Sus scrofa: one gene and its partner. The protein of the gene in region 2 binds, or shares a complex with, the protein of the main gene of each other region. Links are inferred from orthologs where the notes say so. Each region holds a gene or a part of one and is shown on either strand. Other genes may lie near its edges. The genes, in order: CEP63 and CEP152.

What was found.
Region 1: the proteins of CEP152 (region 2) and CEP63 are in contact, whole or in part, in a crystal structure (PDB 6CSU), measured with the Homo sapiens proteins. The link is inferred for Sus scrofa from reciprocal best matches to the Homo sapiens genes CEP152 and CEP63. Residues at the interface, in NP_001181927.1 of Homo sapiens: Gly1261, Ala1262, Glu1265, Leu1266, Gln1269, Tyr1270, Lys1272, Ala1273, Lys1276, Ile1277, Asp1280, Met1281, Tyr1284, Glu1287, Ser1288, Arg1291, Ala1292, Met1295, Ala1298, Arg1302; in NP_001340037.1 of Homo sapiens: Phe666, Glu669, Glu670, Arg673, Ile677, Arg680, Leu681, His684, Glu687, Leu688, Glu691, Ser692, Thr695, Phe699.

Annotation. Positions count from the first base shown.
Region 1 is NC_010455.5:75,700,019-75,703,835, reverse strand, and holds part of CEP63 (centrosomal protein of 63 kDa), read right to left. Parts: intron 557-3,817; coding exon 366-556; intron 1-365. UniProt on the Homo sapiens protein: Required for normal spindle assembly.
Region 2 is NC_010443.5:122,874,857-122,879,256, forward strand, and holds the start of CEP152 (centrosomal protein of 152 kDa), read left to right. Parts: upstream 1-1,289; 5' UTR 1,290-1,548; intron 1,549-1,607; exon of another isoform or gene 1,608-1,986; intron 1,987-4,400. UniProt on the Homo sapiens protein: Necessary for centrosome duplication; the function also seems to involve CEP63, CDK5RAP2 and WDR62 through a stepwise assembled complex at the centrosome that recruits CDK2 required for centriole duplication.

The DNA of each region.
Region 1 (3,817 bases), on a different chromosome or scaffold from region 2:
TTTTCTTAGGTAACAGTCTATCATTAGTTGACCAAAAATACAAAAGAAGCTGTTTATAAAAAGTCAACTTCTACTTCTTATAGGACTAGTGGGGTTGGAGAGGTGGGAGGGGCATGAAAAGGCTCGGGGGAAAGGCTGCTGTTTATACCTACATCCAGAGAGTCTAAAACCGAGGCTTGAATGAAAGTGCTATGTAACTCCCTGCATTTTTTTACCTAATAGTAGCTTTACTTGTGCACAATGTACTTCAGAATTAAGTAGAGAGTCTTGTGATGAAGATTTAATTTCCATAAATCGGAAAATATTCTCAAAGAAATGAGAATTATAAAGATACACATTTTAAATAAACCATGAAGAAATTTTACTTGAACACAGGTATTCTGCTATGTGTTGGTTTAAAGATCCTGTCATGGTTTTTTTTGCACATCTGAGTAGAAATCTCCAGCTGGGATTTGGTATCCATCAAATCTTTCTGTAGTTGTTGATTTTCAGACACTAATTTATTTAATGCCTCAATATAATTCTCCTGGAGGTCTGCTAGTGAAATCTCTTTTGCCTAATAAAAAAAGAATACTGGAGTCACTTCATTTGTATAAGAATACTTGTGATCTGTGATACTGATAGCAGAAAATAACATTTTTTTAGCTGTAACTACTCAATCTATGACTTTCTGTAGGAAAACGTGAAGGTTTGGTTTTGGCCCCCTAAAAGAGAAAAAGCATTCTGTTTCTTATAGTAAATGGGGGTAGAAAATGAGGAGCACAGTGGGCCACCCTGATGTGCCAAGGAATATCGAAGGAGCTAGAGAAGGCTGGGAGTATGACTGAAGAAAGGTATAAATGAGAATCAAAAATAGGGGAAAAGAAAGAAAATAGTAGCCAGGGATTCTCCTTCAAGAAAGAGAAGGTTGAGCTTAGTGAAATAAGTCAAACAGAGAAATACAAAGACTTATGTTATCATTTACGTTATCGCATATATATCTATATATCTCACATTTATTTCAAAAATAAAACAAATAAATGAACAGAAACAGACTCAGAGATACAGAGAACAAAATAGTGGTTACCAATGGGGAGTGGAAAGGAAAGGGGCAAGATAGGAGCAGGGGAAAAAGAGACACAAAAAGTATAAAATAAATAAGCTACAAAGGTATATTACTGTACAGCACAGGGAATAGGGCCATTATTTTATGACTTTAAACAGTATAATCTATAAAAATGCTGAATCAGTATGTTGTATGTACACTTTAATATTGTAATTATATATATACAACTATAATTTTTTAAAAAGCTACTAATTAAAAAAAGAGAGAGAGAAGGTTAAATAGTCCCAGAATACCTGTGGAAAAAAATCGAGAGATCTATTTCAAAGAAAGAAATTTGAACATAAGGTTCTGAACAGCAATTCTGGCTGGCAGGGACAAATTTTAAATAAATTATTCTCTGGTCTTATAGATGTTTACATAATATTGGCACCTATTCTGGCATATGAAATAAATTTGGATATGATAAAGCAGTATTCAAGGGTAACGCAGAAATTACTACTGCAATCTGGTCAAAGTTCTATGATTATAAATTTTATTCCTCTTCAATTCTAGGTGTTTTCTGGTAATATAGTACCTGAAAAAACAGGAGTCTAGATGGACCATTGTTTTCTTTCTTTTTTTTTTTCTTTTTGTCTTTTTGCCATTTCTTGGGCCACTCCTGCGGCATGTGGAGGTTCCCGGGCTAGGGGTCGAATCGGAGCTGTAGCTGCCAGCCTACGCCAGAGCCACAGCAACGCAGGATCCGAGCCGCGTCTGCGACCTACACCACAGCTCACGGCAACGCCGGAACCTTGACCCACTGAGCAAGGGCAGGGATCGAACCCGCAACCTCATGGTTCCTAGTCGGATTCGTTAACCACTGCGCCGCGACGGGAACTCCTGGACCATTGTTTTCTAATGATAAAATATTTTCATTAGCATTCTGAAAATTTATGGTTTTTTTTTTTTTTTTTCTTTTTTTGCTTTTTAGGGCTACACTGGCAGCATATGGAAGTTCCCAGGCGAGGGGTAAAATTGGAGCTGTAGCTGCTGGCCTATACCACAGCAACTCAGGATCCAACCACATCTGCAAACCTACACCACAGCTTGTGGCAATTCCAGATCCTCAACCCACTGAGTGAGACCAGGGATCAAATCCACATCCTCATGGATACTAGTTGAGTTCATTACCACCAAGCCACAATGGGAACTCCTATGATTATCTTCTTTGGAATTTTATAGGATGTTTAGCTTGGTCTTTTCTATAAAGAATTTTCTGAAAGTAAGCTGCTCCACAGTGCTTTGACAAACAGAATGTACCTAATGAAAACATAAATCTTAAAATACAACTTTTTAACTACCTATACCACTAGTGACAATAAGTTACGAAATCTTTTAATAAGTTGCTGATGACAGATAAAATCTCAAAGGAAATTTGCAGGACATAGGAGTTAAATTATAAACTACAGTCAATTTTTTTAATATGGTAAATAATCAGAGCTATTGTTTTCATTAGGATAATTAGATAATTTTATTAAAACAGTTATTTAGCCAAAATATTAATTTGTAAAAGTAATTCCCACCTTCCTAGATGGTCAAATGCAAAAAGGCACTTTCTTTTTTTTTTTTTTTTTTTAATTTTTGTTGTTGTTGTTGTTGTTGTTGCTATTTCTTGGGCCGCTCCCGCGGCATATGGAGGTTCCCAGGCTAGGGGTCCAATCGGAGCTGTAGCCGCCGGCCTATGCCAGAGCCACAGCAGCGCAGGATCCGAGCCGCGTCTGCAACCTACACCACAGCTCACGGCAACGCCGGATTGTTAACCCACTGAGCAAGGGCAGGGACCGAACCCGCAACCTCATGGTTCCTAGTCGGATTCGTTAACCACTGCGCCACGACGGGAACTCCCAAAAAAAAAAGGCACTTTCTAATAATTGTTCTTAATACATATACCATGTTTACATGGTATGTATCTTCAACACCAGAGAAAGTTTAAACCGCTGATGGTATTTCGCACCAGAGTAATGTCTGATGTCATTAAACGTACATTTTAAGAGAAGATAATGTTTGCCTTTGCCAGGCAGGCATCTTTTAAACATTTCTCAAATATATTATTTTATTAACAACAACTACAGTTAAATGAATGTGAAAGGTAATAAGAAAGGCGCATAGCAAGCACATACCTGGCTGTGTCAAGAAAGGATAGTATTAGCACCGTTAGACAGAAGTTTCAGAATAAACTAAAGTGAACAGAATCTCTGGTCATAGCTGGCTTAAGCACTCTCAGAGTTCCCAACTCTCAAATATGAACAGGTAATCACTGTGTTCACACATTGCCAAATGCTGAGCCTTTTGAAGATTCTGTGCAAATCAGGTTGGTTCTTGGTTTTCTCCACCACTTTAGCTTAGTACTGGCCTTATCAGTGCATATAAAGTCATTTTCCTTCCCTCCATTGTTCTTTCCTTCCCTCCTTCTATCCATCCACCCACCCATCTTCCCCCCTTACAGAATGTTTAGCTATTGTCTCCTCTCCCACTTTTCCCATCCTTATAGGTTTGTGCTTTAAAAAAAAAAAAAAAAAAAAAAAAATCCTTTCATTATAGGAGGGATTTGGGGAGGGAACATGATTAGTTGCATATGCTCATCTGCCATCTTAAATGATGGCATAATATTTCCTAGTATAGAAAGTCACAATTAACCATCCCTCTATAGATTAACATTTTGGTTTTTTTCCAAAATTTTGGTTATTGCAAACAACACTGAAATAACCATTTTTGTGCATTTGCTCCTACAGG
Region 2 (4,400 bases):
GTGAAAGATTACACAGCAACTAATTATAGTAGATAATGAGGATTATAATGAGATGAATACACCATATCCAGAGGGGAGAAGGATCATTTCTACCAAGGTTGGGAGGTATGTGTCATCAAAGACTTCAGGGGATGTGCTCATCTATCTTGGAGACTGAGTAGCTGGGGAAGTTAAGTAGGGGCACTGTAGGTGAAAGATAGAGTTTGAGCAAACCAAAAGCATTCTGAGAACCTCAGGGAGCCAGGCCAGAGGTTTCATTCATCTAGTGCTATGGACTGAGTGCATTTTATGTGCCAGGCCCTTATGCTTAGTTGATGGGGTTGCAGTGGTTCGTGTTGGTATCCAAAAGTGGAATGGTGAGGTAGCAAAGGAAAACGAGCCAGACTATGGACAACTTTTAACAACTATTTTACTCTATACTAGTGTATATGGGAAAGAATTAAAACTAGTGTGAACTTACTGCTACCAACTCCATGAGCGTCTCTGGGAAAACCCCCCGCCCGCGTCCCCATCTCCCGCTCGCCTCCCCCACCTCCCGCTTCCCACCCCCCAGCCGCCCACGGCGATAGGGATCAATTTCGAGCCGAGCCACGAATTACTAAGCTGCAGCTGCGGCAATGCCAGTTCCTTTAACCCACTGTGCCGGGCTAAGGATGGAACCTGCCTCCCAGAGTTCCCAAGATGCTGCCGATCCCATTGCACTACAGCAGGAGCTCTTCTGAGACCCTTTTATCCCAGGAAGGTAGATACCGTAATGGGATTTATTCCGGACTGGAGAGCATTGTCTTAAAGGTCAGGTTAACATATACCTGAGTGACAGGAACATTCACACTCTAGGAAATTCAAGTAGTCAATAAACACGTGTCATCCCATCAGTAATTAAAGAAACACAAATTCAAACAAGGTGGGATCTAGTAAGCAAGAAGACAAAGTGAAACAACCTCTAAGGCTGTTAAGGCAATTTAGAGAATCTGAAGGATAGATACAAAAACCTCCAAGGTGGATTCGGTGGGGGAAGCGAAGGATTCTGTGTACCGCTCTTGAGAACTGATATTTAGGAGTGGGGAGCGCGGAGGGCAGGAGCATTGCACCAGGTGGGGTTGGGTAAGACCAGTTCACAGGCAGGAGGCCAGGTGCTAGGGCGTCTCTATGCAACCGATAAACCCGCCCCCTCTGCAGTGAACCCTTTTGTAATTGGCTCACAAGTCCACCAATGGACGCACAGGAGGAACTTCCCGCCACCTCTGGCGCCCGCTTTTAAACAGCCGTATAGTATTTGCAACTGCAGGCGGACTTCTCAACCTAGCTTGAGAAAGGAGGAGACTTCCGCCCCCTCGCCCTGCCCCCAGCCGCCATGGCCCCCCCTACTAGGCCAGCTACTACCCGGCGATTGAAGGGGGAGGCTGCTCTTCAATGGCTTCAGGCCTCCAGTGTTCGGTTGTGACTAGGAAGAAGCTAGCGGATTAGAGCCAGGGCGAGGGGTTTGCTAGAGGCTGGTCTTCCACCAGAGCTAAGGTGACTCTACGTTGACAGCATCTGTGGCCTCCGGTGAGTTTCGCTTCGGGGATGGGCTTGCGGCAGGGGTAGGAGGAGGTGCGGAGTCCTTGGGATTCTGGCTGGGGCTTCTGGGTGGATTAACCCGCCCCCTCCCCAAATACTGCAGTGGTGTACTGCTCGGGGTGGCGGGACTCAGTCTCTGAAGTGTCATCCAGACCCCAAGATCCTACTTAGAAGTGACGTCTTAGAAGCCCTCCTTGCCTCCTCTACGCCGCTAGAGTAGCCCTGAGACTCTACCCTGGGGACCCCCGCCGTGGTTCGTCTGGCGCTGTGCCTGGCTCACAGTGGGTGCTCTGTACACGTGTGTTGACCGAGTGCCTGTGACGCCGGCAGCCCAAGTCAGCAGCCCCAGGATGCACCCTGGGGTCTTGCAGTTTCGTTTTCTCGGTATCTGTTTTTACCGTGGTTGACGCCAAAAGGAGTTCTTTGGTAAGGTCATTGGTTTATTCTTCGTTCAGCTTGTGGGTGCCTACCCGCTGCATCCTCTGGGCACCCTGAGTATATTTGTCCGAAATGCTCTCATTAGCACTGATCAGATTATTGTCATCATTTTTATATACATCTGTTTTCTTTCCCTCCGCCAAGCCCTGTTGAACTTTGTGATCTTGAACAGTGCTTGGCAAATAATTGTGGAATGAATAAATAGATGCCTCCTAAGCCTGCTATTCCAAGTCTGAAACATCAGGCTAGTGTGCTCTGGCTGTTTTCATTCTAGAAAGGAAGCTAGTATGTAATCAAGTAAGTAGAATTTCCTAACTCTCAAGGCCCCCTTTGTGGCACTTAACCTTTTCTATTTTATGGTCGCGAATTTGAGTCTATTTAAGCTGAATTTTGCCATCTACTTCACAATGTGTAACAATTTGTATCCACTGCTTAGACGTGAATATACTCAACTAAATGAGAAGTTGAAATTGGAGCCATAAGAAAAGTGTAAGAAATACAGCCTGGAGTTCCTGTCGTGGCTCAGTGGTTAACAAAACCCGACTAGTATCCATGAGGACGCGGGTTCAATCCCTGGCTCAGTAGGTTAAGAATCCAGTGTTGCTGTGAGCTGTGGTGTAGGTCTCAGACGCGGCTGGAATCCAGCGTTGCTGTGCTGTAGGCCCGCGGCTACAGCTCCATTTGGTCCCCTATTCTGGGGACCTCCATACGCAGCGGGGTGCGGCCCTAAAAAAGAAGAAAAGGAAAAAAAAAAAAAAAAGCCTGAAAGTGCCAAAGAGTGATTAATTTCACGAGGGAACAGGATTGGGAGGGCTTGTTGAAGGCAGTGGTATTTTCATCCCAGAAGATGTTGCATTATTTGAAGGAAGATTTCCCAGAGGCTGCACAGTCATCTTTTTCCAGGTGTACTGAATGTTACTCGTTCCTTGAACCGTTTTTATAGCTGGCAGACCTCTATTCATCAGTAAGGAGGTCATAATAATAACAAAACAAAAATGTATTGATTGGTACAGTGTGAAACACTTATATACATTAATCTTGTGAATCCTCATGACCAATCTTTGAGGTAGGTACTGTTTCTGCCCCCCACTTAATTAATGAAGAAATGGAAACAGTTTGTGCAGTTTAGCACAGCTGATAAACAGGAGAGCCAGAATTGAGCCCAGGCTGTCTCAATGAGTGCCCTCATTCTTAACCACTTTCTGTTGTATTGTGTCCTTGAAGATCTATTTCTAAAATCTTTCCTTCTGTGAAACTTCTTTTCTTTTTAGGCATAGATTATTTGTGCTGTGTACTTTTCTGTATTATAGAATTTATTTCAAGGTATCATTGTAACAATTTATATCATTGTTTCCCTAAGAAACTGTAAGCTCCCCATGGCTGGTACCATGTCTTAGATATATCTAGGACATAACCTGGCATGCAGTAGGTGCTCAGTAAAATTTAATAAATCTGTATAGACCAATGCAAATGTATTATATTCATTCATTAAATATCTGTTGTGTGCCTACCATGTGTAAAGGGTGGGTTTGATGCCTACCATTTGTAAAAGGTGGGTTCGATACATTTTAATTCTGCCTCCAAAGTGCTTATACTCCATTAGATGAGGCAAAAACAATGCTACTTTTGCTTTTTAATGTTTTGTTCAGTTCAACACCGATTGGTCTTCTTTCTTATTGCAACGAGGGCAAAGAAAACTTAACCAGGGCCAACAAAATGAGTACTGACTGATACTGAGTTCCACCCATCTGAGTGGGACATATGTCAGAACATAGTCTTGTTAGGTTGAGAAAAAGTTATCTAGAAAGACAGTGATAACCAGCTTACTATTAAAAAAAAGCACTACACTGTGCACTTATTCCACATCTTGATTTTTTAATAATCAGTCTATATATAGAAATATTTTGTTATTTTTGTTAGTGACATAGTACTGTCAAATTTATTCAAAAGTACTTTTACTAGAGCAAATGTTCTTTTTCAGTGTATTAATATTGATAGTTTTCAAGATGGTTTTCCAGTTTGTACTTTTTATCAGCATTTCATATGGATGCCTGTTTCCTATAAAATAGCCACCACTCAGTATTATCAAGGGTTTTTTTTTTTTTTTCAGTTTAGCTGTTGAAAATCATATTTCATTGTTTAAATGACACCTTGAGTTCTTCCTGAGCTTAAGCATCTTTTCAAGTTCATGGAGCACTTATGTCGTATCATCTGCCCATTTAAAATTGGATTATTTGTCTTTTTCTCATTTATCTGTGAGAATTGTATGTTGAAACTTTCTCTTGTGTTTTGCAAATATTTTTCTCATTATTATTATTTTGACAATGTGTTTGTTATACATAATATTGGAATTGTTAATGATGGATTTTGCCATATGCAATTTTATTCTTTTTTTGTGGTTA